3 linked regions of the Tribolium castaneum genome follow. The protein of the gene in region 3 purifies or fractionates together with the protein of the main gene of each other region. This does not show direct contact. Links are inferred from orthologs where the notes say so. Each region holds a gene or a part of one and is shown on either strand. Other genes may lie near its edges. The genes, in order: Kaz, UbcE2H and armadillo repeat-containing protein 8.

Region 1 (11,533 bases), on a different chromosome or scaffold from region 3:
GAACAATAATAATAAAATAATTTTTAACAGAAAGTGCAATAACTCGAATTGAAGTGAATTAGTATCAGACGCAAATACTGACCCCATTTTTTATTTCAAGTTCAGAATTCTCATTTTAAGACAGCAGGAAATTTTTTATATTAAAACAATTTCAATAACTTGAAAAATATTTTCCAAATTGTGGTTTTACGTGTTTTACTGCCTTGGTATGAACAAAATTAAAGCAAAAAATAGAAGTGTTTGTAATATTTTAATTAAAAACGTATTTTGCTAATCTATTTGTTTCTACAAATAATTAACAGTTGATGCATGAAGAAAAATAGTTCAATGAACAAAAACTGGAGAAATCTCAGAAAAATGATAACTAATTACTTCCAGTTTTGGCATTTTATGAAATGAAATAACGCCGAAGAGATTAGAAAAACAGGTGTTATATTTATCATTATTTTAAAATAAAAATTGTGGGCCAATAGCGCGATTATTTCGGGTTTGACAACAAAATTTTTATTTCTTGAAATTTTCCAGCGATTCTACCGCCACCACGAGCTCCGCGAGAAGAAAAACGCGGAACTGCGAAAACAAATGAACCAGGGACGCACCCAACGCATCCCCTACTTGCACATCCTCAAAAAATCCCTCCCCCAACTTTACAACGTCTTTTTCATATTCTTCGTAACCCTATCAATTTTCCCAGCTATACAGACAAGTAATTAACTGTTGCATCCAATATTTTTTCTACAGTTTTGCATTTCAGACGTTAAACGTGGTGACGAGAATTTTTTTATTGGCGAGGACTATTACACAGGAATTACGTGTTTCCTCACTTTTAATGTTTGTGCGATGGTGGGCAGTTATCTGACTAGCTTACTGCGTTGGGTAATTGATTTCAAACACAAGGAACTTTTTTCCATGACATGATTTTAGCCCGGTCCGAAATATTTATGGATTTTTGTCACTCTCCGAGTGTTGTATATCCCGTTTTTCTTTTTTTGTAATTACCAGATCAACGGGATTGAGCGGCATATTCCGGTGTACGTCACGAGTGATTGGGTTTATTGGATAGTCGCCATCACAATGGGGCTGACTAGTGGGTACTTTAGCTCCCTGGCCATGATGTACACCCCAGGGTGAGTCAGGAGTTGGCAAATTTCCGATAATAATTTTTGTGAGTAGGTGCGTGGAAGAGAGATATTCCTCGACGGCGGGCATGTTCGCCGCCGCTTCTTTGATAACTGGTATCTTTACCGGGATTTTGTCGACATTTTTATGGCCTTGGATAATCAAGCATGTCAAATACTAGCAAAAGTGTTTGGTATATGATACGGAAACGGAATTATCTATACAATTTTAGATAGTAGTTTCTGTCATATGCCATAGAGAAACAAGTATGATTTCAATGGGTCCCGAATCATAGTTCTTCCAACTAACGAAGAATATTGTTTTGTAGCAGTTTTGTAAATAGTTTTAGTCCCATTGGCTTTTCAAAAATGTTTTCTGGGAAAACCACTAGATTTGCATTTTGATAAGACGTTTGCAAGACTGACCGTACATTAGTTCTAGTTTGCTACTTGTGTTTTCTATGTTTTTCAATAAAGTTAATTTGGTGTTTCTTGCTTTATTACATATCTGATACAATCATAATCATCTAAATACAAATAAGAGATAACTATTTATTCAGACTATTTATTATCGCCTTATCAAGTGACGTAGCTGATGTCCATTTAGAATCCAATCATATCTACCACGCAACGCAACTGTTGACTCTCTACTAACTGGCAGAGGCGTTGCAAAACGACTAACGGACTGTTGTACCACGAAAAACTGCCAAAAACTAGTAAAATTACTGTATTCAATGGTGTCAAAACGGTTTGGTTTGTCGTTTGTTGCACCACTTATTAGGTCGTCCATTGTACATACCTTGAGCAAAAAAGTGATGTTTTCGTAGTACAAAGTTTAAAAATGTCACTTTTCTACTCTGTTTCGACTAGTTTAAGATATATTGACACTGTTACACTCTTCTTCACCTCGACTCTTAGATAATATAAGATACAGGGTCTTGCTGACCAATGTTATGTCTTTGTTAACACTGAGTTACTTAGAATAGTTAGGAAACTTCAAATTGTTGAGCAGTTTCATTATATTTTTATAAATATTTTGTACAAAAGTCTGACGAGTACCAAATAGAGCAACTCGCTTTCTATTTGGTTCAATTTGATGCACGATAATTACAAATCATAAGGCTTTAGGAACATTCATAATCATAAAACGGCATTTAAACTGTAAGTTCTAGTGTAGTGGAATGGATTATAGGTACTGTCATAATAAACACTATCAGGAATTAAACCATTTTTTATTTCGATAAGCATAAAGTATATTTCACAAAAAACTGTTACCCTATGAGTACTTAACTTAACTCAACTTAGAGAGGTATAAACAATACTATAAAAAAGAAAATATCACATTTACATAACGTAAACTTTTTCGACTTTCTTAAACGGGAATATCTCTTTCGTTTTGGGACATATTATTTGCCCGTTATTCTCCTTCGCCATTTGTTCTAGCGCCTGCAAGTCGTCCAGTAACAACCGACCAATCGCAAAATCAACTTACTTGTTCTCCGTAAATATATCCATTGGGCAACATCATGGGTAAATTGTTTTCGTTTAGTGGTAATCCGCTAATATGGCAATAAAGACGTGACTGTGAGCAATGGGCGAAAGGCAAAGACTCTGCTAATTGGTTGAGGCAAGGTTGGCAAACTGGACAGGCGGGATTCCTGTTTTCCCCGTTATCAGAATAACACTGATTAAGTTTTGTTAAGGAACAACACTCAGTACAAAAACACACACGTAAAATGCATCAAAGGATATGGTGTTTTAAGCGCTGAAAGTCCAGCTTGAAGAGCCACTGTAAACACTGATTGTGAAGCTAATTGGAACAGTCGGTAGTTTTCTTGTCTAAATTGCTCGATGAGGGTGTCCCATCTGGTCTCGTCAAAGAGGGCCTTGTAGGGTTTTATTTCTGGAATTTTTCAGATGGCTCGCCATCAATCAGCACTTATTTACTTATCTGTTAAATATCGTTCAACAAAATGGTTTTTTTGGTACATTTATCTAAATTACGACAATAAAGCTTCGTGTAAATATAGACAATTCAATTTCAGCAAAATTTTAATTGTAGTTACGGTTTACAAAGCCATCATTTCGTTAAAAAATACAACACGTGCATGCATAAATAGAATACACAGGCAATTACTTAAAACTGATAAACTATTACCCATTATCGTGGAATTTTACTCAAAAAAGGTTGCAATTTGACTATATGCAAAATTGGACTAAAATAGAAACAATGTTCAGTGGAAAATTATCAGAGACATAAAAACGTGATGAATTAAAAATTAAAATGTATAAAATCGGTGACACATGCATATAGAAATCAAGGTAACAAACACGTGCAATAAAAATGTTTGAATAATAATAAAAAACTACGAGTGGCACCGACGGTTTTTAGTTATGAAATAAAACACTGAAAATATCGAATAATATTCTTAAAACTGCAAATAGCATTTAGTTCCGGAAAAAATGCTAGAACAAGCCTGGTTTAATTTTAAAAAGTGCCAAATATGAATTTTTTCACCCGTTAGTTTTTAATTTACCTACGTTTGTTTTAATAGAAACCCCTAATTTTGTAGCCCTTTCAACAGATCTTTTACTTGTCGAAAAGGCAATACCAAAACAAATTTTCACAAAACCCTTTAAACTGTTTTTCCACAAACTCTCCCTCTACCTCTGTGCATTTCTAATACTTCATAATACCTTCTTTAAAGTTCTTTGGCTCACTTTGTTAGATAAATATAACAAAATAAATGTGGATGTATAAAGTTATTTTTATTTTATTTAGGTCTGTATTTGTATTTAATATGTACGTTTATGTAGCACCTTTATTATTTTAATTTTTTAAATCTTTTAGGCTTTTTATGCCGACAAAATCTCGCAAAATAAGTGAGTTTCTGGATCAGGCCAATGATCGTAATTGTTTAAAATTACCTGAAATAATGAAATTTGTTTGTAGTTTAACAAGTTTTCATCGAAGAAATGTTTTGAAATAAAAAGCGAACTACTTTGCGGATAAAAATGGACTTTTTAAGTCAAAAATCCTTTTCACAAATTCACTTTATACCTAAATATCAACACAGAGTTGGGCAAAAATATGAAAAAAAAATTACTACATTTACAGTTCGGAAAATCTATTTGTTAATTACCATTTGAGGTAATGGTTCGTGTGTATTAATGATTATTATATTCATTAACTCCAACAATATTCATTATTTCCGTGAAAACTCCAATTAACATGGATGTGAAAAACCATGCGAATTTATTAGATGCGATTTATGTCAAAGCTCTCTCACACAGAAATAATCAAAAAATATGAATTACTTGATGGAATGGAAGCATTCAATAAAACATTTTTGTTTAAAATAAAATAAGTCTCAAAATACTGACCTGTACCTATCGGAAACGCCAAAAGCGCCATAACCCTCTGAATCGTATCTAAATGCTCGTCTTCGAAGCTCGGAAAATGCTTTCTCGCGTGCTTAATAGCGTCCATTCTGCGCTCAGACCTGATCAGTTCAACAAACTCCTGGATCCTCAAATTAAACTCCATATTTGACTTAAGCTTACGAAGTTTGGACTTATTGTCATGGCACCAAATCAAGCACTTGGACGTCTCATGATTCGCGAGACTCTTCTCGATCTCGCGCGACGTCAAAAAAATCTCAATATTGGTCAAGTCCTTGATATCGCTCTTCTCCGCCAGAGTAATCGCAGCGTTGTAATACCCATTCCTGAGGAAGTACTCCACCATCATCCTATCCAGCCGCTTCCTCTTCCACTGGTTGACGGCCCCCTGCGAGACCGTCCCGGCCGACGTGAGCGTCTCGCGCTCCTTCAGGTGCTCCAGCCGCCGCTTGCACACATTCGAGGCGGCCAGCTCCTCGGAGATGCTCTCCTCGGCTTTGCGCTTCAGCACCTGCAGCTTCTCCACCATGCCTCCAAGCAGCGAGGTGATGTCGCGCGCCCTCACATTACCCCCAGAGATGGTGCTCTCGAGCTCGCGGGCCGCCTGCTGCACGTGGGAGGCCTCCCTGTCGAGCGATTTTTGCGCAGTCCGGAACTTCTTGTTGAGGATCTCGTACGGCACCTGGAATTCGACACCAACAACGCCCTGAGACCTTGAATGGCGCTCTTATCGCGCGATAATGCAAATTTCGGGGAAAACGCCGCAGTAACGGGGCGGGGGCCCCACGGTGGGGCCGCGTTTTTGGAGACAAGACCCGAATATTCAAAGGATATGGGAGGTGGTTTACCTTCAACGTGGGATGCTCCAGAGATTTCAAGTCTGCCATTTTGGTGCACAAATAAAAACATAAATAAAACGTCACTCACTCAGCTGCTGGCTTCGCAAACAGCTGATTTTGTCAATAGAAATGGCAGGGAAGTTCGGGAAACGCGAAATTTGCGAGTACACGGCAAAAGCACATACAATTAGCAAGTTTGGTATTTTTAAAGAAGGAGTTTAGTCTTTGTTTAGAGCCCTTCCCCTCAACCTTGAAGTACGACCCTTATTATTACAAACACACAAACATTTCAATAATTCGTCCATGTTATACAACCAATTATACACAAAGCTTTTACACAGCAATTATCAGCCATAAAAAATAATAGTTTCCAGTTTTATCAATTACTCACTTTAAAACTGGTCGTAACACGTAAGGTGACAATCAGTAACAATCAAAATATTTTATTTAATAAACTCACAGACGGTATTATGTCATGGATGACAACCGTTGTCAGATTGTAGGTTAGTTTTACAACTCAAAACAAAACTTGAATTTCCTCGATTATTTATCCGACATTTAGCAACTTAAGGTTTGGCGGCCCCAATTTGTGTGTCCCCCACACCAAAACGTTTGGTTTCAGATGAAATCATCAACTATTTTAGTATTTATCGTTTACCTATCCATGACAAACGCCGAATGGGTTGACCCCCATAGCATGGACACCAACGCGAAGCACAAGGTGCCAGTTCGCTCCCCAAGTCTAGATCTCGATTCGCGAAAGCGCTACAGTTCTGGGAGTACACAATGCGACTCCGATATACATTTAAAACGAATTGTGCGCCTAATTTTGACTAACGCCTATTTGGACGATTCAATGGGGTACCATGAGGGTCACGTCAATATTAAATTGACGTCGAGTGAGCTTCAATTCCTGTTGAATTTCTCGCAAAGTAGTGACACCAAAGGGGACACAATTAGCGAAATAAGCTCGATTTTTGAAAATGCGTTGCAAAAAACGTCCCAGGATAGATACGAAGCGGTTGTTTTATCAGTTCAGGAGAGATTGTATTATTTGGTTTTTAATCCGACTTCGGGGGCGCTTGCCGCTGCCTGTCTTGTTTTATTTATAATGTATAAGTTGCTCAGGGCGCAATTTACGTGGTGGTCAATAGTGAAGTATTTTTTCTTGCTGATGTACATAATGGATTTTACGATCACATATTTGAGTATTTTACACGTGAGTTTATTACAACACGAGTGCAATAATAATGACTTTTCGTAGGAGGAAGAAATTGATAATTTGGTCGCGCTGAAAAATATGGGAGCGGTCCCGCCTGAATGTGACCCGAAAAAAATGTCATGGGGCACTTACTTCAAGACACAAATGCGTAAGTAATTTTAATGGATGTCTACAAAACGTGTGTTTGGATTTTTCCAATTTTTTGTGGTGAAATGTTCTTACAATCCCTCTAGGATGTTAAAATTGTGCGCTTATTGTCGTTATTATGTCCTTTAAAAAATTTTTCATTGAAGGATCCATTAAAAAAAAATATTCACTTTTTTCGCGTAGTTTAGTGACCTTTTTTTGCTTATTTTTGACCTAAATTTTGTGATTTTTCGGCGTGTTTCAGTTTAAAATAAATGGGTCCCCAATTCAAAACCAAACTAATAGAATGACATACACGAAAATAACATTAATTTGGTGTTTTTTTGTGCCAGGTTTGACTAAATTGTTCGACACAAATGTAGTTTTTACACATCAAAATACTTGAGTTATTATATTCTTTATAAAAAAGAATTATAGGGCCGGTTTATGGAAAGCTCCATTAAAATTTAACACGTAGTTAAAAGTTAACGTGAATGAACCAACAAAATTTGTTCAATTTGGTCACGTGATCATTTAATCACACATTTAATTGCAGATTAAATTAACGACGCTTCTGTAAGATTATAATTTTAGGAACAAAAGAGGTGCGACTTTCATCGAAATGCGAAAGTCATTGCAACAAAAAATCGCAAAAGTCCAAAAGTAGGTTTTATAGATAATTATCATAATTTATTTATAGAAAATAGTACAATTATTTTTTACTTAACAGTGAATCATAGTCGGGAAACATGATAAAATTGTGTAAAACGCTGCCTAATACCGCTATGCTGTTTTCCCCATTGGGGCCCTCCGTTATCGTGGCTAGGTCTTCTCGAGCCTCAAACGTGTTTTCAGGGCTCAACTCATATTTGACTCTACCGATATGTACTTCCATTTTGCCCGACCTTCTAATCACTAGTTTGCCAATTTGGCCCTCGAGCATGTCCTTGAGGGTGTAATCGAACAGTTTTTTAACGTTAGGATCGTCACTCAGGCCTTTGCCCGCGAAAGAATCCGGCAATTTAACTAAAGCTAAAGCTGGGTTTTCCTCACTATGTTCACTATTAAACGGTTCAGGTACAAACTCCAAATCCTCTTTCTTGACACTCACTTCCTTCTTAACCCTGCGCACCGGATCCAGCGACAGTGTCAAGGGCTTGAAAGACATTTTCTCGTCATCACTATCAATATCACAGTTCGCCAACTCGTCCAAAACCGCCTCTTCGGCTTTTTTATTCACAGTCCACGAGTTCCTGTTAATTGTCGGTAAAACCATGTTCGAGACCGTGCTGTTGTCCCTGAAACTGACCCTCGGCTCGGAGTTGTGGGAGGTCAGTCTTTTGATTTCGCCCGTGCCTTGCGAAAAAACCCCGCTGGACTGCACAAACTTCGGTTTCTGGTCCTGTCTGTTGTGGCGGTCTCGGTGCCCCGTCCGGTCCTTGCGCTTCTGGTCCATTTTCTTGAGAAATTCTTTCGTTTTGTCCTTGTTTCTGACAACATTGAGGTTAGGTGTGTACTGTTTCTTCGGCTTGGCGATTCCCAAACTCAGGTCGCGGGGGAGTTTGAGGGACTGGAGGCGCCCCCCGGAGACCTCTTTATCGGACACATTTTTGAGGAATTTCTTCTCGTCCATTTTTCAGAAATAATGTAAACAAAACGGCGAGTCAAGTGACGTTCCTGGGGTTTTTGTGCCGCTCGGGTTGCATCACTATGGCGCGTCATTTGAATCATAGACAAGACAGTTATTCACTGGAATAAACCGTTTTGCTCTACGACTTTTAGTTTTTAAGTTATAAATTTTTAATAAATAATTCGGCGCATCCACCATTTTTCAAATAAATAAATAAATTTTTTACTAAGTCTTCGAGTGAGATAGTGTTGTAAAAATGACGGTGTAATACAGAAAATGAGCCGCTGAATTCACTGGAATAAAACGTTTTTCTCTACGACTTTTAGTTTTTAAGTTATAAAATTTTAATAAATAATTCGACGCATCCACTATTTTTCAAATAAATAATAAATTTCTAACTAAGTCCTCGAGTGTGGTAGTGTTGTAAAAATGGCGGTGTAATACAGAAAATGAGCTGCTGAATTCACTAGAACAAACCGTTTCGCTCTACGACTTTTAGTTTTTGAGTTATAAATTTTTTAATAAATAATTCGGCGCATCCACCATTTTTCAAATAAATAAATAAATTTTTTACTAAGTCTTCGAGTGAGATAGTGTTGTAAAAATGACGGTGTAATACAGAAAATGAGCCGCTGAATTCACTGGAATAAAACGTTTTTCTCTACCACTTTTAGTTTTTAAGTTATAAATTTTTAATAAATAATTCGACGCATCCACCATTTTTCAGGTTAATAAATAAATTTTTTACTAAGTTTCCGAGTGAGGTAGTAAATAAAAATGACGGTGTAATACAGAAAATGAGCCGCTGAATTCACTGGACTAAACCGTTTTGCTCTACGACTTTTAGTTTTTGAGTTATAAATTTTTTAATAAATAATTCGGCGCATCCACCATTTTTCAAATAAATAATAAATTTCTAACTAAGTCCTCGAGTGAGGTAGTGTTGTAAAAATGGCGGTGTAATACAGAAAATGAGCTGCTGAATTCACTAGAACAAACCGTTTCGCTCTACGACTTTTAGTTTTTGAGTTATAAATTTTTTAATAAATAATTCGGCGCATCCACCATTTTTCAAGTTAATAAATAAATTTTTTACTAAGTCTTCGAGTGAGGTAGTGTTGTAAAAATAGCGATGTATTATAGAAAATGAGCCGCTGAATGCACTGGACTAAACCGTTTTGCTCTACGACTTAGTTTTTGAGTTATAAATTTTTAATAAATAATTCGGCGCATCCACCATTTTTCAAGTTAAGAAATAAATTTTCTAACTAAGTTCTCGAGTGAGTTAGTGCTGTAAAAATGTCGGTGTAATACAGAAAATGAGCCGCTGAATTCACTGGAATAAACCGTTTTGCTCTACGACTTTTAGTTTTTGAGTTATAAATTTTTTAATAAATAATTCGGCACATCCACCATTTTTCAAATAAATAAATAAATTTTTTTTAGTTTTTGAGTTATAAATTTTTTAATAAATAATTCGGCACATCCACCATTTTTCAAATAAATAAATAAATTTTTTACTAAGTCTTCGAGTGAGGTAGTGTTGTAAAAATAGCGATGTATTATAGAAAATGAGCCGCTGAATGCACTGGACTAAACCGTTTTGCTCTACGACTTAGTTTTTGAGTTATAAATTTTTAATAAATAATTCGGCGCATCCACCATTTTTCAAATAAATAAATAAATTTTTTACTAAGTCTTCGAGTGAGGTAGTGTTGTAAAAATAGCGATGTATTATAGAAAATGAGCCGCTGAATGCACTGGACTAAACCGTTTTGCTCTACGACTTTTAGTTTTTGAGTTACAAATTTTTTAATAAATTATTCGGCGCGCATCCGCCACTTTTCAAGTTAATAAATAAATTTTTTACTAAGCCTTCGAGTGAGGTAGTGTTGTAAAAATAGCGATGTATTATAGAAAATGAGCCGCTGAATGCACTGGACTAAACCGTTTTGCTCTACGACTTTTAGTTTTTGAGTTATAAATTTTTTAATAAATAATTCGGCGCATCCACCATTCTTCAAGTTAATAAATAAATTTTTTACTAAGTCCTCGAGTAAGGTAGTGTTGTAAAAATAGCGATGTATTATAGAAAATGAGCCGCTGAATGCACTGGACTAAACCGTTTTGCTCTACGACTTTTAGTTTTTGAGTTACAAATTTTTTAATAAATTATTCGGCGCATCCACCATTTTTGAAGTTAATAAATACATTTTTTACTAAGTCTTCGAGTGAGGTAGTGTTGTAAAAATGACGGTGTAATGCAGAAAATGAGCCGCTGAATTCACTAGAATAAACGATTTTGCTCTACGACTTTTAGTTTTTGAGTTATAAATTTTTTAATAAATAATTCGGCGCATCCACCATTTTTCAAATAAATAAATAAATTTTTTACTAAGTCTTAGAGTGAGGTAGTGTTGTAAATATGACGGTGTAATACAGAAAATGAGCCGCTGAATTCACTGGAATAAACCGTTTTGCTCTACGACTTTTAGTTTTTGAGTTATAAATTTTTTAATAAATAATTCGGCGCATCCACCATTTTTCAAATAAATAATAAATTTCTAACTAAGTCCTCGAGTGTGGTAGTGTTGTAAAAATGGCGGTGTAATACAGAAAATGAGCTGCTGAATTCACTAGAACAAACCGTTTCGCTCTACGACTTTTAGTTTTTGAGTTATAAATTTTTTAATAAATAATTCGGCGCATCCACCATTTTTCAAATAAACAATAAATTTCTAACTAAGTCCTCGAGTGAGGTAGTGTTTTAAAAATGGCGGTGTAATACAGAAAATGAGCTGCTAAATTCACTAGAACAAACCGTTTCGCTCTACGACTTTTAGTTTTTGAGTTATAAATTTTTTACTAAGTCTTCGAATGAGGTAGTGTTATAAAAATAGCGGTGTAACACAAAAAATGAGCCGCTGAATTCACTATCTTGTCTACGATTTGAATTAAATTGTTTCAGAATCGGTCTTCACGGAAAATCCTTGCAAAGCTTATTATACGGTCATGTATCAGGATTTGAAATACTTCGTGGCCCCCTCGAAGGTGCTCACGAGACAGTTTCGGACGCTCATTGTCGAGCCTGGGGGCGACCTTGGAGAGGCGTTTGGGAAATTCGGCCGTGGAATGTTCGGTAAGTCTCTCACTAATTAATCTGAGGCATTTTTCATAAATATTGTTACAGCAACAC
Region 2 (10,322 bases), on a different chromosome or scaffold from region 3:
GACTAAAAAACACACTTAAATCTTACAAAATGTAATAAAATAAATAATGCAACAAACATTTAAAACAAAAAATTTAAAGCAATTTGTTACTTAAATAAACTGCTAAACTTAGTTAAAAAAATACTTACTCCTCAAAAAAATTAACTTCAACATGAGCGGCTTTTAATGTATAGTTATAATTATTAAAAGTAGAAGAGGGAGAAGAACCGTGCAACGGTATCTCCCGGCGAGCTCTACAATTATTTACGGAAAAACTAAATTTTTTTAAAGAATTGCTCGCTAAAGTCACCCCTACGTTAAAGTTGCCTTGTTCACGATTAATTTTAATAAAAATATGGAAAAAACATTTAGAATAACACACGACTTTACATATTCTTGAGGAGATGTTTCTTACTGAAATCCTGGTCCAGTTTCGGCGTGCGCTTAATTTGAGGATCGATCTTTTATGATCATTTTTGAGATGTGCTGCCAAGTCTTCAAACGTGTTTCTTGTGCGGCAGTAAGACACGGGGCATTTGATTACATGGTGTCTGTGTCGACTCAGACGAATCGCAGGAGCTGGGCCTGGATCTGGATCAGCAGGTGGCGAAAGTACAAGCCCCAATTCAGAGACCAGCCCTTCGAATGCAAAGTTTTTCGCTCGAGTACAAATAATCATCTTACAAATTGGACACAAAGTTTTGGTTCCACAATCCCCACAGATGGTGTGACCTCTAAGACACATACGAGTTGTTGATAAAATTTTGGAGCAATGTGGGCAGTTCCACAGAGCGGCCATTGCGTCTGAAACCCAGCGTAAGCCGAAGAAGGAGACGAAATTGTAACTCACCAAAAAATGAAAAATCTGATTAATTATTTAAAACTTTGACGTACATCACAGGCACAAACAACCACACATGCCCACTAACGATTTTCTTCCACGTATATCGGTGTTTTTCTCCTGATAATTTTTTTGACTGATTAAGGGATAGATACTCTAAGTTGGTCGGATACACCATTCTTTTTACCTATTTTGAGTTTGTATTTTTGATTTTTTATTTCAAATTTCAGTAGAAATCGTCTTAAAACATGTAAAAATTACAAAAAATGTTTTTGATAAATTGATTAAAATTGTTAAACTGATTTATTTGAACAAACCCAAGAATAATTCAGGTCACCTCATGAAATATAAATCCACATAATTTCTTCAAAAATCAACAAATTTGTGTATATCTTCTAGTCAAAAATAGTGGATGTACGTTTACAATTTGGTGCTTTTACGTACTTCTTTTACCTTTTGCCGCATTATTTTCTTATTTCTGTCAGTTTTATGCTCCGCTTTTCGTTTATACGTCTATGTGCTCTTTTAATCTCTTATTTTTGTTGACGTGTTGTTTCACCTACTTTTTCTACACTTTTTTTCATAGAAAAATTGTTACATTGATCCGGGTTCGAACACCCGACCTCCACCGTCGAAAGTGGCGCTTATACCACTGGCCCACCAGGCCCCAGGTACTGGCCGTCTTTTGCAAATATTTTAACATAATATTTTTAGATAAATCAAAATTACAAACTATAATTGCCATAATTGCCATAATTATTATATTTCCATTTTTAAGAAAACAAATATGTTTTGAGTTTAAAAAAAGTCCTTAAAATTGCTTGTTTGGAATGTTAAAATCCGGTCTCTAAAATAATTAGAGTAGGCTGTGATATTTTTTTAACGTGTATGAAATCGCTTGTTATCAGTTAATCAAACTGAAGAGTCAAACAATAAAACTTCGAACAGTTCAAGACTGGTCTTGTGGAACTTGTTTTTTAATATACAACTATTATTAATATTTACGTCAAAAAAACTTTTGTTTCAAGTAGGTACGGTATATGGTCAGGAGCAAGGTATGCTTTTTAAAGATTTATTTAATTTTTATTAAAACTATAATACTAAATTGGAAAATTGCCTAAGTTAGTGAAACTAAAAACTTATTTTGGTTTTTGTTGACGGCTTAGATATACTTATATGCAACTTTAAATACATTTTGAAATGTTTGCTTTAAGAGTTGTCATCTTACGGTGGACGGATAAGTCGACATCGAGTGGTTATTATCGGATAGAAAGGTTTCTACCTCGAAAAAATTGCATAGAAGAAATCTGTAATTCAGCTTGTGTCTGTCAGTCGTCGAGTCGGAGAGTCGGTGCGTGTGGAACATACCGCATTTGTAATTCTTTAAATAATGCCAAATTAGCAAAACTGCGTCAATTAGTGAAACAGAACCCATTTAGTTTCATAAGCCCATTCCAGTGCTTCTAAAAATGCGAAAAACCTTGATGGTCTTGTGCATAATTTTAAACCTAACCCCAAATATCCACTACGTGTCAAGCTCAAGTAAAGAAGAGGCTGCCAAAGCGAAATTACCACCCTGTCGGGCGTGCAAAATTTTTATCGAATCGTTCAAAAAGGTACGTTCCCATTGATGCTCAAATTCAGTAATGACAACAAAATAACAGGGCATAGAGAAGACAAAGAAGGGTAAGTTCGAGGGCGGCGACACCGCTTGGGAGGAGGAAAAGCTGGGCAGTTACGCCACTAGTGAAATTCGTTTGATCGAAATTCAAGAAAGCGTATGTTCCGATGTTGTCGAGGGTAAAGACCAGTGCTACGCCCTTCACGAGCAGTACGACTCGGAAATAGAAGAGTGGTGGTTTCACAAACAGGGCGACGAGCCCGACTTGTTCAAGTATTTTTGCATAAAGACCGTCGAGCACTGCTGCCCTGACCTGCACTATGGGACCAACTGCACCCCCTGTCCGGGGTACCCCGACAACGTGTGCAGCAACAACGGGAAGTGCAAGGGCTCAGGCACGCGCAAGGGAAGTGGGCAGTGTAGTTGCGACCCCGGGTACACTGGCGAGACGTGCAATGCCTGTGCCGAAACCTACTATGAGGCCTATAAGGACGAGAAAAAGTTACTTTGCTCAAAGTGCCACACGTCCTGCGAAGGGCCCTGCTCGAAGGCGGGCCCCGCTGGGTGCGAGAAATGCAAGCCGGGCTGGGTTATGAGCAAGGAGAAGGGCTGCACTGACATCAACGAATGCGCCACCGCACAGTCGCCCTGCAAGTTGAACCAGTTCTGCGTCAACAATGACGGCTCTTACAAATGTTTAGACTGTGATAGGTCCTGTGCCGGGTGCACGGGCGACGGGCCCGACATGTGCACCCAATGCGCCTCCGGTTACGTTCTAGTGGACAACATGTGCACAGGTACTAACCCGCTTATTTTCCCACTAATCTAACTTTTTCACAGATGCAGAGCAAGAAAGCCGCAAGCAACACGTTTTCCTGACAAGATACATGACTTATCTCGGCCTGTGTGTGGCAACTTGTATTATTTTCAACAAAAATACGATTTTAGCCGCTATTATTGGAATTGCCGTCGCGATTTATATTTCCGTGTCTGAGTATGTTCTCAATTCCCCACCAATTCCAAAAACCGACGATTTAGCCGAACAGTTACTGCACTCACAATAGATCGTTTCGTTTAATGTGATTTTGTTACCGTTTTGATCATTAGGTGGTAAATGTACCAAATTTTTGAAGTACGATGTTAGTCAAGAAATCTTCCGTTCGTAGGTTTAAGTTACTGTTTGTATATACTGACTGATTGTTGATTGCATAGATTTATTTATTTTTCGGTTTAGTGGTGTGATAGGCAATTTATCAAAATTGTAAGACAAGTTTTGTACTTTTCAATAAAGGTATTGCCAGAACAACTGGTTTTTATTTCGAAACTTATATCCATTACCGTCTAACTAATTTCTCCAGCAAGAACCACGTGGAAGTTTAGAGCATTCTTGCCAGGAAAAAAGGAAGTAAGGATGAGGTAAACAATGATTATTACAAAATAAAGGGATAAAGGAATTATTGGTTTGTGAAATGAAAAAATACAACACAAAAATCGTTTTTTTTTCACTTAGCGTTAAATAAAATGCACTCACCTTTGATATGACATTTGCTTATGCTACTGTTTGTAGCAAGGCATTAAAAATAAATTAAAAACAAAAACAATAAAAAAATAATTTATTTGCATGAGAGCTACAACAAGCTGTTATAAATATTATACAAAATAAAGAATATACAATACGGTATAATATATAAATAAAAAAAGCACCTACCTTCATATGGTTTCTGCGTTGGCTAATGTTTGTAGCAAAACATAAAAAAAAATAAAACAACACCGTTGAAAAATCTTTATTTGTATGGAAGTTACAACAAGCGACTATTATCAATATTATACAAAATAAAGAATACACAATACGTTATAATATATAGCAATTAAACTATTAAATTCAACACCTCACAAGATAAATAGAAAAAAATACACCTACCTTCATTTGGCTACTGTTTGTAGCAAGACATTAAAAGATAAAATAAAAACAGCACCATTAAAAAACTTTATTTGCATTAAAGTTACAGCAAGGGACTCATAAATTGAAATTAAAGACAAAGTCACTGAAACTATCACTTTTCAACACCTCATTTAAAAAATTAATATGCACTTCCGCTACAGTTTGTAGCAAAATAATAAAAATAAATTGAATGGGGATGAAAGATTTAGACAGTGATTTGAGTTTTTGGCAGTTTTTTTTTTAATTGATGGTTTCTTTTCGTAATTCGGCTAGTTTTAATAGTAAAATATAATATTAAAAACAGCTTCGAAAACCACAAATGTGCCTATGTGTCCTTTGACATATCACTAAATTGTTATTTGTTATTCGTTACTGTGTTACAAATAAAAAAATATTTACAACAAAAACAAATAAACAACGGTATCAAGAACAAATTGCATGAATAACGTCAGATAACAAGCGTACCTGCTATCTTGAAATTGGCAAGTCTTAGCGACCATTTATGGTAGAAAAAAGTGAAAAAGCTGATTACGAGTGCCAGATTTATTTTTGGTTTATTTGTGTAATTGGCAATTTATCAAAATTGTGCGGTTTTCGTATTTTAATAAAGCCGAGATGGTTGCAAACAACCGCTCAATAATGTTTTAGCGATTTCAGTTGAGTGGTCATTAATGGTAAAAAGTGGAAAATCTGAAACGCAAAGTCACGATCGAGATGAGCGCAGACTCATAAACCGCCCCCGTTATAATTTATGCCACCTCATTTAAATTTCCAATTAAGAGGAATTAATCTCGGTAAACAATTTGGAATTGTGTCGAAAATTGTGCGATGTTATGAATAATTTAAAGCACGCGTGAGTGATTGAAAAAATGCGAGATAATTAGCGTAATCGCCACAATAGAATCTGGCGGTGATCGGCAAAGAGTCGCTGTGTGTTTGGGATTGAAAGTGGAGAATTGTGCGTAATTTGGAGAAATTTGTTCGTCCTTTTGTTCGAATAACATTTTTCCCCCCCAAATCTGTGGAGTCATGCGCAAGAGGGAGGCAGTAGGGAGTTTGTTGTCAAACGTGAAGGTTCACGAAAAACGTATGTGGATTGGTGGAATTCCTGTTGGGTTTTCGCCACGGCCATTGTGTGTCGAAGTGGTTACGTCTCAAGTGAAAGAGCAATTTCGTCGGAGTTTGGATTCATGGTAATATTTTTATGACAACAGAACCATGTCGTCTCCAAGTGCAGGAAAACGACGTATGGACACAGATGTTATTAAACTGTATCCTTTCTTTGTGTGCGATCCAAATGTAAACAACAACATTATCCTTTGTATCAGCTGATTGGGAAATTACACGTTATGTGACTCGTTAATAGGGCCATTTATTTTTTGGGTGCGTACTCCAATAGGCGAATACGTGTGCTATTTTTATCTATGAACAACCTTAAGATTCCTGACAATGTGTTATTGTCTTGTTTTTTAATCCTTAACACTGACTAGAATTGAAAGCAAACACGAAGTCACGATACTTGGCGGCTTGAACGAATTCTGTGTCAAATTTTACGGCCCCAGGGGCAGTAAGTCCTTCGGTTGCCCCATTTTACATTATTTTCATTGATGATTTCCAGCTCCGTATGAAGGGGGAGTGTGGAAAGTCCGTGTTCATTTACCTGAGCATTACCCTTTCAAATCACCTAGTATAGGCTTTATGAATAGAGTGTACCATCCAAATATAGACGAAATCTCAGGGACTGTCTGCTTAGATGTGATCAATCAGGCCTGGACAGCCCTTTATGGTATATCCTCGCCACTGCGAGATTTATTTCATTCCCGAGATTATTTTCCAGATCTTTCAAACATTTTTGAATCATTTCTTCCACAGCTGCTAACTTACCCGAACCCCATTGACCCGTTAAATGGGGACGCAGCAGCAATGTATTTACATAAACCCGAAGAGTATAAGAAGAAAGTCTCTGGTAACTGTTGACAAAAAAGCGATTGTGGTGTTAAGTTGTGATTTTTTAGAGTATGTACGTAAGTATGCAACTGAGGAGGCTTTAAGGGGGCAGGAGAACGTGAGTTCAGATAGCGAATCAACCATGTCAGATTTTTCAGAAAATGAAGCTGAAGACATGGAATTATAACGCAGGCTGTCTACCATTAAAAGCTCGCTCAATCCTCTCTTTGCTATGAATAACAAATTCTTTTTAGTGTTACATGTGATGTGTATTAGGTTTGATTTAATTGTTTTGCATTTTTTAGAGTTTATTATGTTGCACGTATTGCGAATTGCTTAATTTTTTTCAGAGGAAATGTTTTTTTAGATTTACAAATTAGTTGTAGTAACATTAATATCTCATTAATTTGCCTTATTATGTTAATATTGTGATGATATGAGCGTAGCGACATATTTATTTTATAGATTTAGTCAGAAGTAGAGGAAATTTTCATTGTTGTACACGTCATTGAAAGATTTCTGTTTCAAATAACGCAGCTGGAAGACCAATTTATGACTTTTTGTGATGTGTACTATTTGTTGTATTTACATAATGTCACAAACATTTTGTACAGTATGTTTCCTCTACTAATTTAGTTAGTGCAATAGATATAAGTTGTTGTCACTTGTATTAACTTTCAAGTTACACACACCATTGATATCATTATGGTCTCATTGTATATACATTAATTGTCTTTAATTTAATAATATATTTTTAATAAATGTATCTTTGGCAACATTTTTTCTTGCACTGTCAAATAATAGTCAAACATTTGTTTTGATATTTTGTTTTTGTATCAAAACAAAAAATAACACTGTCCATACATGATCCACATCACGAAAATGTTTGTAATTTTGATTATTACTAAGATAATAAGTGTAGGTCATTTGGTAGCATTTAACAGTAATAAAGAACTAAATTTATTACGTACGAGTGTCATTCACCCCAGCTAATGTTTCCTAAAACATTTATTTTATGATATCCCAGTTAAGTCTGCAAAAAGTTATTGTTGCAACCCATCGTTATCTATATTCATTTCTTGCGCAATGAACTAAATCGTAAAGAATCATTTGGATAGGAAAAGTTACGTGGAATAATATTTTTGTAATAAAAAAATGCCTCCATGTGCCTAAAATCCTATGCGTTTTATTGGAAGGGTGTATTCCCTAAAGTTATCCCTTGACCTTTGTATTATTGGTTGCATACGCGTGAAACCGAACATAAAAATAAATACTTGGATCGAATTTCCAGTTCTTTAATAAAACAAAAACACTCCCCACAACAATTGTACATTAGTTAGAGTTTCTAATACCACTTATAGATAAAGTTTTTACAAATGCTAAGATAAAACTACTATGAATTAAACGTGATTACTTGATTACCGCTTCATTCAATCGTTCATTCATAATGTGCAGCAAAGAAATAAAAACAAAACTAAATAAATAAAATATAAAATAAAAGATTCTACAATATTAACTATACAGACCCTTTAATTTAACCATTCAGTAGGCGCCTCAACTAACTAAATTCACCCCATTTAACACAAAGTGAAAAATAAAGAAGTTAAATTAACGCATCTTCACTAGTAACTGGTTTTAAACTGACTGATGGGTAGAAACGTGCATATTGTGAGATTTATTATGCAAAAGGATATTTAATAACATTGATATGCACGTTGTGGTATCATTTTTCATCGTTTACTTTTTTATAATAGAGACATTCTAAAATATGGATCTAATTTTGGCGGGAATGAGCTTTTTAATTTGCGCATAGAACGTACCCCTAGGAGTTGGGGTTTCCCCGTTTTTATCCTCTATAATATAGTGGGTGTATTTGTTATATTGGTTGAACAAAGACAAGTTATACGTTCTCTTCGTCTAATACATCGATTAAACGACAGATAGATAATCTGAGCAACTCATCAATATCTGTCTCTGTTTTAGAAGGTTTGTTTCTTTGCTGTGTAGTGTAAGCAAATTGTGTGTTATGCGAAAATTTCTATTTACTTGCGCTCAATTTCTATGAAAATTCATTTAATATGTGGCTGATAACTTGAGGATACGAGAAACGGAGGAATTTCTATCGATTAAATCTGTAAGGTGATACTTAAACCACATAACCTAATTCTGTAAGGATTTTTTTATTGTTTTGTTTCTTCATAAATTATCGTTATTTGTTGAATAACATCAACAACAATCTTGGCTTTATCTCATCTCATATCGATTCGTTCTAAATAATGCAAACAATCGATTTTCGAAGAAGACGTTTGCTAACAAACATCCCATTTCATTCGCAGAACGTACACTGTTTGCAATGGTAAAGCTCTGAAAACGCTCCAAAAACCAGCAAAATGAATGAAATGGGTTCGTCTAGCCTTCTGCATTTAGGGGACATCGTGTCCTTATATGCAGAAGGTACAGTTAGTGGGTTCCTCAGCACTTTAGGGTGAGCTACACTCGATCTCTTCATGACCATATATAGAAAACATTTATTTTAGGTTAGTAGATGACCGTTCTGTTGTATGTCCTGAAGCTGGAGATCTGTCTAATCCACCCAAAAAATTCAGAGGTTGTGTATTTAACAATAACAAAAAAACAAATAGCAACAAATGTTATTTCAGACTGTCTGTTCAAAATATGTCCCATGAACAGATATTCAGCACAGAAGCAATTCTGGAAGGCTGCAAAACAGAGCATGAGCTCAAATACAGACACCAACCTTTTAAAGAGGTTACATGTAAGTACTTTTTATATTCCTTAATTACTGGCTATTTGTACTCCAATAATTACAAAAAAGTACGCAAACAAATGTCGACACTACATCAATTACAGCAATAATTACATATTACTACTGGTGTTGACAAATTTTTAATGCAAAAATGCTGTAGATGTGTATCAGGTGACGTGATGAAGTTGAGGCGGACTGGAGACTGAACAGACTTTTCAAAATTTGGACATTTTTGGTTCAAGCTTGAAATAAAAATTCTGGATTGGAAAATAATTCGTATCGTTTTACTTGTTATATAAATTTAACCTTCACTTAAGTGCTTAATTATAAGCCATGTACTCATTAGGAATACTTTATATAGATATCCGTTAATAATTTGCGACATTTTAAGCTCGAGTTGAGTTGTTATAAAATTACACTTTACCAGAAAATAGGTGACTTTTCTATAAAAAAACTTTCCGCTATAGGTTCATTTTTAGCTATTTTTAAACAAACACGCACCGTGTGAACTTGTATCCGCAAGTATGTGAGCGAATTTATAATAAAAAGTACAAACAAAATTTTCGTTTATTTTCACTCTGGCTGACTTAATTCCCTCTTAATTGCCAATTTCCTAAGCAAATAATTACGTTTAATTTAGCCAAAATAAATTTCTCATGTTACGTATTCTTTTATCAACATTTTTACCAACAACTGGTTTGCCCACCTAACTTCTCAATACACAATGACTAGTAACACAATACTCCGGAGACAAGAGGAGTTCGATATCAGAAACCGGAATTTGAGTTCGGTGTCGCTTTGGAGTTGCACGCTGTTCCCATTTCCTCTTTCACACATGCATCAAAACAAGTAATAAATAATCGGCACCATAAAAAATATGACTAATTTATTACAAAGACAATGGACGTTAAAGATGAAGTGATAAGACGAAATGTCTTTCTAGCTAACCGGCAAAAAAACTAAACGTTATTTAAAAAGGAAAACAATGGCAAAATAAAATGTTTTTATGTAAGTTAGTTCGTGAGTTATTGACATGACGAACACGTTACATATTATTTTTATTACTGTCAGTAAATAATAAATTCTAATTGTTTTTTATACTTTGTGGTGAAATTGCGAAATATTTGCTGAACCAGGAACTAGCAAAGAGAAATGAGCAAATATTTAGAATGCTTCTGTGACTTAACTCTAAATTACTTTGTAATTACCACAACATATCAGAAGT
Region 3 (11,378 bases):
CAACCGGAAGATCTGGTCGGTGCCGAGGGCGGTTAAGATTTGGGATTTGACTCGTTGCTCTGCCCGAAACGCGAGATTCATTAGAGCCCAGACGCCGTTCAGACGAAGGGATGGCTCGGGACGGACGGTCAGGGTTGCCAACAACTGCACGACGCCTTGCTGGATCATGGGCTCTTTGGCGGGGGAGAATTCCAGGAGGAAGTTGCAAAGGGCGGACGAGGCGGCTGTGAGCAACTCCGTCGAAGGGCAACCTGAATGTCAATGTTTCTCTTATGGCATGGTCATTTATTGTTACGTAAATGTTAACGTTCTTATAAAAAGAAGTATAAATTCATAAAATTATAATTTTAATCACACTCAAATTATACACAAACTGTCCGTCTTCCAAATAGCGAAGATTATCAGTCTACACTAAAATGCAAATTAGGATTTCATACAACTCCGATGTTTTTAAAAGTGAAAAGAAGTGAACAATAAACAGCTTAAACGCAGGAAAACCTAATTTGCATTTTACTGCAGACTGATCATCTACTAAGCTGCATTGTTGTAAGAACTATTATTTTGGGCACTAAAAAACTACTTCCCATATGATTATTTTGTATTTCTTTAAAAATAAAATATGTATTATGCCACAATTAAATGACAAATTTATTATTTAGCAAATACAGGTGGTCCAGCTCAGCTACCGCGTTCTATAGCTCACTTATTATTAAAGTTGGAGGTTTGATATTTTGTAGATGGTATTTATACTCTAGGACACATTTCAGGAAAATATTTTTGACTGTACAGTGTCCCTAAAAAGTATGACGTCATAGTAATATCTTTTTTAATGGTAAGCTATTATTTTTTTGTACTCATTATGATACCTTTTTAGCTTCTTACATGTCCCTAATTTTTTTTAACTCGGTTCAGACATTACTGTTTAAAAAAATAAAAACAAAAAAATCGGTTTTACACCTTTAGTTTCAAAAATTAATAAAAAATAGAAACAGTGCTTGTTTGAAAACATTTTTACTACGTAAGTGTTAAGCAAGGTCTAACAGACTTATAAGTGAGTTTGGGTGATTTGAATTACTACAGTGTTTACAATTTATTTCCAAACTTTTTAAATTTTAGAGCCTTTTATTTTGCTTATTTTAAATGGCAACCCCTATTTTTTTATATCACTCGATGCAGAATTAAAAAACGATCAACTTATTATAATACAACCATAACATAGATCCTAACACATTCGGAGTTATTTGATAAAAACTTGTTTTGTCAAGAATTTAAGACACTTTTAATGATTACATATCGCAAATGGTTTCAACGCCGTTTACTTTTATGGTAATCGATCCAGAATTAAAAAACAAACATTTTTTGTTATAACAATCCTATTGCAAATCTTCACATATTCAAAGTTATTTGCTAAAAACTCATTCTGTTAATGACAAATTTCTTTAATGATTAAAAGTAGAACATGGTTAAGGTTTTTGGCAAATAACTCCGAATGTGTTAAGATTTACGTTAGGGTTGTAATAAAAAAAATGTTCATTTTCTAATTCCCCATCGAATGGTATAAAAATAAACAGGGGTTGCCAATTAAAATAAGCAAAATAAAAAGCTTTAAAAATAAAAAAATATTAGAAATAAATTGTAAACACACTGTAATAATTCAAATCAATCAAAGCCACTTAATATGTCAGTTAGACCTTGTTTAACACTTACATAGTAACAATGTCTTCAAAAAATCACTATTTCTATTTTTTATTAATTTTTAAAACTAATGATGTAAAACCGCTATTTTTTGTTTTTTTTAATAATCCCTAAACCGATTTAAAAAAAACTTTAGAGACATGGAAAAATCTAAAAAGGTTTTATAATGAACACAAGAAAATAATAGCATGCAATTTAAAAAAAAAACCTTATTATGACGTCATACCATTTTGGGACACTATAATCAAAAATAATTTCCAGAAATGTGTCCTAGAATATAAATACCATTTACAAAATAACAAAACTCCAACTTTAATAATAAATGAGCTACACAAGACAGGAGCTGGGCCGGACCATCCTGTATAGGGTGAGTCTTGACCAAAAACTAACGAATATTGAAAAAAAGTTTTAGTCAAAGTTTGAATTTTAAATAATACCAAGATTATCGTTATTTTGACTAATCTCGGTATACTCTTCGACCATATATCATATACAGGCTGCTCAAAAACTGGCGCACCAACTCAGTGGTAGATTATTGAGAAGCAAGTGCAGATTACGGGAAAAATGTTGAAAAAATTCCAAAAGTTATATTTAAAAAAATCTGGAGCTACAAACTTATTGTGTTAACTTCTTTAGTTTTCATTATTTTTTTATATTTCTATGTTTCATACCAGGTAATCGTTCCGTAACAAAACGATGAATAATTATTTTTAAATTTACTATCAGATTTTAGCAGTTTTTTTAATAAAAAAAAATTAAAATTTACCCAAAGAATCACAATGTGTAGATGTGCCAACACTGGGAATTATTTCCTAAGAAACCGTTTCAAAATATATTTATTTTATTGTTGCTCAAATTCTATTGCGATCATGACTGTTAGACAACGTTGCTACATATCATTTACCTGAAATTAGTTATTTATCAATAACTTTAATACAAAGAATTTTTTTACTATTTTTGCCATTATGTGTAACCACTTCTCTACCACACACCACTGAGTTGGTGCGCCAGTTTTTGAGCACGCTGTAGACTGGGCAAGGTGAGATTTGTTTTGAAGCCAACATGTGCAGGTGGGGCAAGGGGAAATGAGGCTTGGTACGCGAATTTGACCCTTACGTACCCCTTCTCTGATTGGTTCATTCAAAATATTTCCAAGTGTTTCGTTAATATTCGTCAAACTTCATGCTTCACGATTGTGATTAAAGGGAAAAATGGTGAATTTTGGGCTTAAATTTACTTGTGAATGGGTAAAATCTGGTTCTTGCGTCGAAATATACAGGAGAAAGTATCCACAAGGGCTTATTCATCGGTTATGTCATCCGAAAGTAAGAAAATACATGTGTTAACCTAAATATGTGAACACACCAGTGGCGTCGTAACGTATTCTGATTTTCCGCTTTGATACTGAATATTTTTGAATATCACAACTCTGACGACATGTCATAAGATAGAATTAGAAGTACTTTAACTAATGCATTTTTTTTGAATCTCGAAAACTTGAAATTATTTCTGAGACTTATAATGTTTTTTCACTTGTTTGCCCCTTGACTACGAGCTGCCATTGAAAAAGGAGTAAGCTTCCTCTTGCCCCTCACTCCTCTCACCATTACATGTTGGCTTCAAACAACCAGCCTACAAACTCGCTTTACGGCGAGTCTATATGATGTATGGTCGAAGGGTATACTGGTATCAAAAAAGTTATGTTCTCGGTTTCGATCATAGATTAATAATGAATTGAATGCAAAATACAGGACATTTCAAAAAGATTTTGCCAAACTTAAGGGGTTACCGGGGGCATTACGACTGAAGGTTTTAGCATATACAGGGTGAGTCAATAGTGGGTTATTCTGAATTTTTGTTAATATGTAACCAATAATACTGATTACAGCAGATCAGATCGGTAAATATTAAAATTGTTTTAAATTAATTCATGATTGTATTGTATTTTCAAGTTTGTTTGTTTCATTATGGACTATTATTATTTAAAAGATAAAAAAACAATGTTTTTAAAAATTAAACTCCAAGTGATAAGAGCAATTAGTATTTTTGGTTGCATCACTATTGACTCACCCTGTACAGTCACAGTTAAACATAAGCCATTATGTCCCTGAAGAATCCCGGTCCAAAAAAAATATTTTCTCTTTTTCACCAAAAACTTAGATATTTGGTTAAGTTGTATTATTATAAAAGTAAAAAAAGGAATCTTAAAAAACTGTACAATGGTAATTTAAATACGAGCTGAAATTATGTGCGAGAAAATGGTGAAAATAACTTGAAAAGTACCTTGAATGTTTTGGATACAAAATTAAAAATGAAACAAAATGTGCAAATATACGAAATGAGTGGAGAAAGCTACGGGGTGACTTAAAGATTGGGGCAAAAAATCTATTGGCAACAATGAGTTATTGGCCTCCCTGCCACCTTTCATTTAACTGCCATGCCAGTGATCCTCAATCGGAAGTGAACGACAAATGAATATAGAAAATTTTTACATTTAAATTTGATAGTCAAAACTGCCAAGTTAATATTTCAAATTTGTTGCCAACCTGACGCCAAGAATCACAATCTTTAGGCTCCTGGTATATCTAAATTGATTCTATTAATTATATATATTAATAATAAATTAATCGGTCTAAAACTTTTTACACTTAGTGGTATGGGGAGATTCCAGAAACATTTTTATTTCGCTACTTTTACAGTGAAAAAACAATAAAATGTGACGTGGAAGCTTCTTTTCAAGATTAAAAATTATTTTGATTTATATTTATAAACGGAACAATTGTAAGCCAAAAAATATACAGCAATGCAACAAGGTGATCTACTATATTACATACCTGAAGACTTTTAAGGTAAAGATCAAAAGTACCTTAAACTGCCTTATTCAAAAATTTATAAGTGTGATTAATTTTCTATGTGCCAACTGATTCGTATAAGTTGACGACCCTAACGACGATAAAATGCAACCCAAAATACATGGAAATGTATGTGTGGAGTGTAAATTTTGTGTCACATTTTATTTTTGTTTGATTTAGCAGATTTTGGCCACCGCGTTTGGCATAGATTTCAGGACGGAACTCCAAAGAATTCAGTTTCACAAATTATGAACTGTTAGTTGTTTTAAGATTGTTTTGCACAACGAATTAAACAAAGCGTCTTATAAAGATGCTACTTGCAATCGGAGCCCACAATTATTTTATTTGTGTAAGTAGTTACTAATGTTATGCCATGAGAGAAACATGCGATAAAATGTGTTATTTGCAGCTACAGTACAGTAAATGAAGTAAGACAAATGTTTAAAATTTATTTTGTTCACATAAACAACGAAGTCAACATAGTGAAAAAAATATTGTTTTGCATAAAAAATCAATGGGGCATTTCACGTGAAGCGGACAACTCAAAAAAATGCGACAACCTGAAATTCGGTTACAATTGTTCTCTTAAAAGGTGTGAATGTACGTAATGGTTTTTTGTTGTGAGCAACTTGTTTAAAAAGTTATTGACTTCTATAAATTGACCAAATATTAAGCATAACGTTTTTGTAAATTGTTATTCTAATTAAACAATATGTAACAAAATATTTAAAATGGTGTTTTATACACAAAATTTACAGTGTTTTTAACTCTAAAATCAAATTTGAAATTTGAATTTTTTATCGTATTGAAAACCGGAAGTGAAGTTTCAAATCCGAATTTTAGTAACTTGGGCCATTTTTTTTAATTATTTTTATTTTAAAAATTAGCTTAAAGTAAATAGGGTTTACACTATAAATCGCAAAATGGGTTCTCTATTCCTTTAGGAGATATAGTACTTAATGTATTCAAAAGCGCGTAATTTCTTGCGTAAACCGACCGATCACGTACATTAAGTACTGCATCTCCTAACGAAATAGAGATTCCATTTTACGACTTATAGTGTAAAATCTAGATATTATAAGCTATTTTTTGAAATAAAAGTGAATTTAAAAAAAAATGGTCCAAGTTACTAAAATTCGGATTTGAAACTTCACTTCCGGTTTTCTTCACAAAAAAACTTTCAAATTCCAAATCTCATTTCAAACCAAAAAGAACAGAAAATTTTCTATATAAAGCACTATTTTAAATATTTTGGTATGCGTCAGTTTTTTGAATAAAAGCTTCCAAAAACTCTGTGTCTCATATTTCGTCAAATTTTTAGAAGTCAATATCTTCACAAGTGTCATACAAAAAAATCATTATGTATTTACAATCATGCTTTCTAGGAGAGCAATTATCCCGAATATAACCGAATTTCAAATTGTCAATTTTTTTTTGTTGTCGGCTTCGCGTGAAATGCCCCCAATGTCATTCTGTACGTAATAAAAGTAAAACAGATGGCAGCTTTTTAAAAAAAGCAAATTAACATTTTTTCGCAAAAATGGGACACCTAAAGCTGGGTCTACTCCTTACCTGTTAAAAGCGCCATCAGGGGGCGCCACACGGAGTAATCTTGGAAGGTGGTACGCAACTGTTGCACTGACCTACTCAACGAATGAAGACAACGTACAGCTGCTAACCTAATATTTTCATTTTCATCATCTAAACCTTCCAACACACTATCCATTAGACACTTTGTGTCGATAATCCTTTTTCTTATGTCTTCGTCATTCGCTGCCAAAGAAGCAAACGCTCTAAAAATTAACACTTATTGAACGAATTATCAAAAAATAAAAAATTAATACCTGAAGGCCGCTTCTCTCGCCACAACACTACGACAACTCAACAAATGTACTAAAGCACTGACTAATTGATTACTAATTGCAGCGACTTGCTGTAAATCACTATCGACTTCTGTTAAATAAGCTAAAGTGTTTGCTGCTGCTGCCCTGTGTGGTTCCGAGTGTTCAATCTAAGAAAAATCTTTACAAACGGAGCAATTTTACTTCATGAAAACCAACCTGACATAGTCGGACTAGACACGGCAGAGTTCTGTAAGTTATTATAGGATCGTAGGCTGGGATAGCCCCAGCTCTGTGTAAATTCGTGAGACATTTGGCGGCCTCCAACTGCATCTCTATGGGTTTATCCCTACTGATCAAAGTCGCCAAATGGTTGGGAACTTTAATATCTTTGTAAGTCGTATTGACAATAGCATTTGCTACATTTTGGTTGTTCCAACACATTGCCGCCAAACACGTCAAGACGGGTATCCTCACCGAACTATTTTGCACTGACAGGAGCGCCGCGAGCAAGTTCGGCGCCCCCACATTACACAACTCGTTTTGTTCCACTGGCGTCTTACACGCTGACCCTAGAATACTCGCCACACAAGACTGTCTCTGGAGACTCTCCCCCGGCCCAGCGAAAGTCAACAACTTCTGCAACCGCTTCACATCGAACTTATTTTGAGCCGTGGCCGAGTCCAGCAGAGACAAAGTACGCAAGCAACACAAACACGCGTCTACTAAGCGGGGCTCGTCCTCCTCCAGGATGTCCAAAAGCAGCTCAACAGTGCCAGAATTGATGAGAATCTCGCTATGCTCGGTCGTTCCCTTGGCCAGCGACCCGATCGTCACTGCAGCCTCGATCCTTACAGCCAATTTCGTGTTTTTATCTTCGAGGAGCTGCAAAAGGCGCGGCACTATACCCTGAGCAATCACGCTCTCTTTTTGTCGGTTCGAGCCAATAACGGAGTTTTTGATGCAAATTATCGAGTTTAGGCATTTCTCAGGATCTGACGAGTACAGGTTGTCGATGTAGGAGCGGGTGCTTTCTACGTTCTTCAAATAAACGGGCAAGTGTCAGCGGCGTTTTTTGAGGTTAACTGCGGGGACTTACCATGAAAGTCGTAAATGGCTGCATCTCAAATATCATTCTACGGTCACAACTAAAATAAATAAAAAGGTTCTTCGGGTAATCACAACAGACACGCAACTAATTTCGAGTTTATTTTAAAATTGTACTTTAAACATTCAACTTGACGTTTACGGCGTTTACGCAACGGATACTCCCCGCAAAAGTTCGAATGTGCAATACTTCAAAAGTGGCCACAAAAATATAAATTAAACAAGGTAGTAATTAATTAGGAGCACCCAGAATTGTGTAACACATCACAGGGTACAATACTTGTTAATTAGGATATAGCAAACTGGAAAATATCATCTTTTTTCAAATATGAATGTTTGATGCAGTGGGAATCCCACCTGACATTTGACAATTGGGGGCTGCGCAGTTGTCTCTTTGCCATAAATAAATAAACATTGCGTAGGTTGAAGTTTCGCAACTTTAATGTCAGGTTCTTTGCCAAAAAATGTCTCACAGTGATAGTGAAGTGAACCGGACGAAAGGGGAGTTCAAGAAGAAGCTCCATGTGGAATTAAAAGCTAAGAATTTAATGAAAAGTCAGAGTTATGCCGCCCTGAAAAACAAAATGAAGACTTTGCGAGATGCCCGTCTTCTTTTTGCTGCTGCTAGCAACAACACCGAAAACATCGAGAAACAGTTAGCTCTGGGGGCGAGCCCCAACTCTGCAGATACGCACGGAAGGAGCGCCCTTCACATAGCTGCAAGTAAGGGGTACAAAGACGTTGTGAAACTTTTGTTAGAAAGGGGCGCTGATCCAAACCAAAACGATAAACTGTGCAACACCCCGCTTCACCTAGCAGCCTGTACACACAATCTTTCCATAATCTCGTTGTTATTAAACGCAGGAGCAGATGTGAGAAAATTGGACTTGTATGGGAAAAACCCTGTGCAACTTGCGGAAAGTAAATTGCACATTTTGCGGCGGAGTTGGAGGGACGGGTCAATTGAAATGGTGCAAGTTCTGACAGAGTTGCAATTGGTAGTTATTAAGTGTTTGGTTTCGCTTTTTTGATTTGTGGGAGTTTTAGATTGTGGACATACTCATAAGTGTGTATAAGCAGCAGACTCCGGGAACCAACGTTGACAATCTCCAAATGATGAAGCTTTCCTTAAATTCGGAGGCGCCAGAGACTGTAGATGACCAAATGTCCAAACTATTAATGGAATTGCAGGGAGTCAAGATTTCGTAATCTCATCTTATTTATTTAAATATTGCTTTACAATATTATAATCACAGAAATAAGTTTTAATTTAATACCATGATTTTGTAACAATTTCATTTTTTTTTTATAATTTGAGCAAACAAAATCCGTGTACAAATAAATAACAAACATGGTGAAGTTTAAAAAAGGTTTTGTAATATTTCACAGCCTTCACCTACAGTAATTATTTCACTATAACATACAGCTAAAAGACATGTCACATGATTAAAAGAATTGCAGGATTATTGCCTACAAACATGAGCATTACTGATAATTGCTCTTAGCACGAATGAACCAGCCAATGTCACACTTCACTAGTTAACAATCTAATTAACAACAAGAAGGCCCTCAGGTACAAAAATTATTTTCAAAATCTCGTTACTCGCACACAATTACAAAAAAGACTGGTGGTAACAGTGACTGACAATGCGTTTTGTAGTAAATGAGTTTTTTAACAGTTAGTTTTTAAAAAAGCGAAAAATAAAAATAGTACATATTTTTTCTTTCATCGTAATCGTAGAACTACAGAAAATTAATTGTAGTTCTGACTAGAATTGAAATACAGTGTACTTCAAGTTTTATGGCCGAGCCAAAAATAATTTTTTCATGTTGATTAAAAGATAAATACGCTGTAATTCTATGCTTTCATTTTGTTCAAATTTTTAAGTCTGGCTGTGAAACACAAAAAAGACCTAATTCTTTGAATTTTTGTGGTACCTGCTAAAATAGAATTAAGTAAAAGTTGTCAGATTTTGAATAATTATGTTTTTATATTGAAGATACAAAAATTGGATTACTTCTAACTCGGTTTGTGGTAAATTCCTAACAGATAATTCCCTAATAATTGAAAAAGGAATTCTGACCTGATCACCAGTTGCCACTAAGCCTACCATAAATTTTTAAACTTTTAGGTCTTTAGGTAACGTTAAAATGTTAATTACTCAAAACCTATCAACTTTTGCTTAATTATATTTTAGCAATTGCCACTAAATTCAACTAATTTTACCATATAGACAACATGCCGATAACTTGATTTTTTTTTGCAAAATTGGTTTATAGTATCTCACACTGAACCTTAAAAAGTTGAATACTAGAGCTTCAAACTGTATCCCAATTAAATATACCATTTCGGTTATAAATATATTTTTTATTGGTAACATTTAAAGCCTTCTTTTTAATATCTGAATCATTGATTATAAACACTATTTTAAAACACGTTTAAATTAAAATGTTCCAACAAAAAAATTGAATAACACTTGTGCGAAAACTCTTAAAATTCTCGGGTGTCTAGGTATACAACTCGCATACGCTCGTTGCATAACAACAGCCTTCGAACTTTAAACTTGTGTTTTCGCACTCGTATTATTGATAACTATTTTAGTTGACTAGAAAGATTTATTGTTGCTCCGGCGATAAGACTTGAAACAGACTGTACATGAGTTTTTTATATCGCTCAAGAAACAAATACAATGTTATGTCCAATTATTTTTTAAGGACCAAGTCAATCCATCCTAAATTTATGAGAAACAAATTAAAAAATAGTTTTACATCTACATTTTCAGAATATCTAGATCAAAATTATGGACAAATAGACCTTACACCGTAGAGGGAGAAACTTGTGGAGGGAACATAAGCGAGAAACCGTGGTCCTTACACAAACAATTTTTATTACCCTTTTCAAAGTACGCGCACTTTGTTTCCCACTTGAAATTTCAAACCAGTGGTGTAGTCAACATATTTTAATTTTGGGGGCACTTAAAGTTTGCAGCTAACCATTGTCAAAATACACTTCTTTAAAAACACTAACCGTTAGTACTAACAATTATTTAAAATTACTATACATTACAAAACTGTAAGTCAAAAAGAATCCAAATAATTTGACGGTATAGAATCTATGATACGCCTATGGTATTGAAGACACAGCTTCAAACCTGCGCACTGATTGTACACTTGACGGAAAATTCAGACCTTCTCTCCACAAGTTTCTCCCTCCACGACTTACACACATATTCGTATTCGCTCTTCAGTAAGAAATAATAAAAAAATAAAGAAATAAACATTTTAGTTTGATCCCCCGTTTACCAATACGGTTCAGGATCTAAAGATGGTCTGAAGGCATCAAATATGCCTAGTAACAAAAACGTTTCATTTGTTATGTCTTGAACGTAAACCATTGAAAATAGTGGATTTTTTCAAAGAAAATTTAATTCAGGGGGGGGGGGTCGATTTATAGAAAGCGAAATTAAAATTTAATTCAGAATTAAACTAATTCAACATTAAGTTGCCATTTAAAATGCATTGACAAAAAATGTTAAATTAATCTCGAATTAAAATTTGATTACAATTAAAATGTTCTTTCAATTTTTAACCGTATTCGCAGCGTTTTCCAATAATGGTAAAAATGTGAACGGAACTAAAAAATATGTAATTGTTGATTTTTTTAATATTATTTTCGGTAAATCTTTGGTGGATTTTTTTCTTAATATCAAATAAAATAGTACCTACTTCCAATTACATTTCATGTAAACCACGTACTTGACTTGGTATTTTTAAAGATAAGACTATATACCTTGAATAAAATTATCATAAAATATATTGCTGTTTTATTGTTACTATGAAATTAGTCGTTTACAAATAATTTTTACTGTAAAGCTATGTTGAT

The links.
Region 1: the proteins of armadillo repeat-containing protein 8 (region 3) and Kaz purify together in Homo sapiens (affinity purification with mass spectrometry; 5 studies listed by BioGRID and IntAct, with this or other methods). This does not show direct contact. The link is inferred for Tribolium castaneum from reciprocal best matches to the Homo sapiens genes ARMC8 and MAEA.
Region 2: the proteins of armadillo repeat-containing protein 8 (region 3) and UbcE2H purify together in Homo sapiens (affinity purification with mass spectrometry; 3 studies listed by BioGRID and IntAct, with this or other methods). This does not show direct contact. The link is inferred for Tribolium castaneum from reciprocal best matches to the Homo sapiens genes ARMC8 and UBE2H.

The regions. Positions count from the first base shown.
Region 1 is NC_087395.1:21,468,550-21,480,082, forward strand, and holds Kaz (E3 ubiquitin-protein transferase MAEA), read right to left. Parts: upstream 5,608-11,533; 5' UTR 5,408-5,607; coding exon 5,369-5,407; intron 5,203-5,368; coding exon 4,503-5,202; intron 3,022-4,502; coding exon 2,871-3,021; intron 2,807-2,870; coding exon 2,611-2,806; intron 2,565-2,610; coding exon 2,463-2,564; 3' UTR 2,334-2,462; downstream 1-2,333. Other genes in the region: Ent2 (NADPH-dependent diflavin oxidoreductase 1), read left to right, coding at 526-706, 755-876, 925-1,127, 1,174-1,300; uncharacterized protein LOC103314256, read left to right, coding at 5,982-6,578, 6,624-6,729, 11,306-11,476, 11,528-11,533; DNA-directed RNA polymerase III subunit RPC4, read right to left, coding at 7,420-8,340.
Region 2 is NC_087403.1:5,358,634-5,368,955, reverse strand, and holds UbcE2H (ubiquitin-conjugating enzyme E2 H), read left to right. Parts: upstream 1-5,456; 5' UTR 5,457-5,601; coding exon 5,602-5,654; intron 5,655-5,873; coding exon 5,874-5,950; intron 5,951-6,001; coding exon 6,002-6,169; intron 6,170-6,220; coding exon 6,221-6,349; intron 6,350-6,398; coding exon 6,399-6,517; 3' UTR 6,518-6,658; downstream 6,659-10,322. Other genes in the region: Creld (cysteine-rich with EGF-like domain protein 2), read left to right, coding at 2,290-2,436, 2,485-3,238, 3,282-3,505; Itpr (inositol 1,4,5-trisphosphate receptor), read left to right, coding at 8,721-8,815, 8,868-8,938, 8,991-9,106. UniProt on the Homo sapiens protein: Accepts ubiquitin from the E1 complex and catalyzes its covalent attachment to other proteins. E2 ubiquitin conjugating enzyme that transfers ubiquitin to MAEA, a core component of the CTLH E3 ubiquitin-protein ligase complex.
Region 3 is NC_087394.1:22,527,652-22,539,029, forward strand, and holds the start of armadillo repeat-containing protein 8, read right to left. Parts: upstream 7,687-11,378; 5' UTR 7,524-7,686; coding exon 7,488-7,523; intron 7,430-7,487; coding exon 6,608-7,429; intron 6,559-6,607; coding exon 6,392-6,558; intron 6,341-6,391; coding exon 6,120-6,340; intron 252-6,119; coding exon 1-251. Other genes in the region: ankyrin repeat domain-containing protein 54, read left to right, coding at 7,960-8,493, 8,543-8,704. UniProt on the Homo sapiens protein: Component of the CTLH E3 ubiquitin-protein ligase complex that selectively accepts ubiquitin from UBE2H and mediates ubiquitination and subsequent proteasomal degradation of the transcription factor HBP1.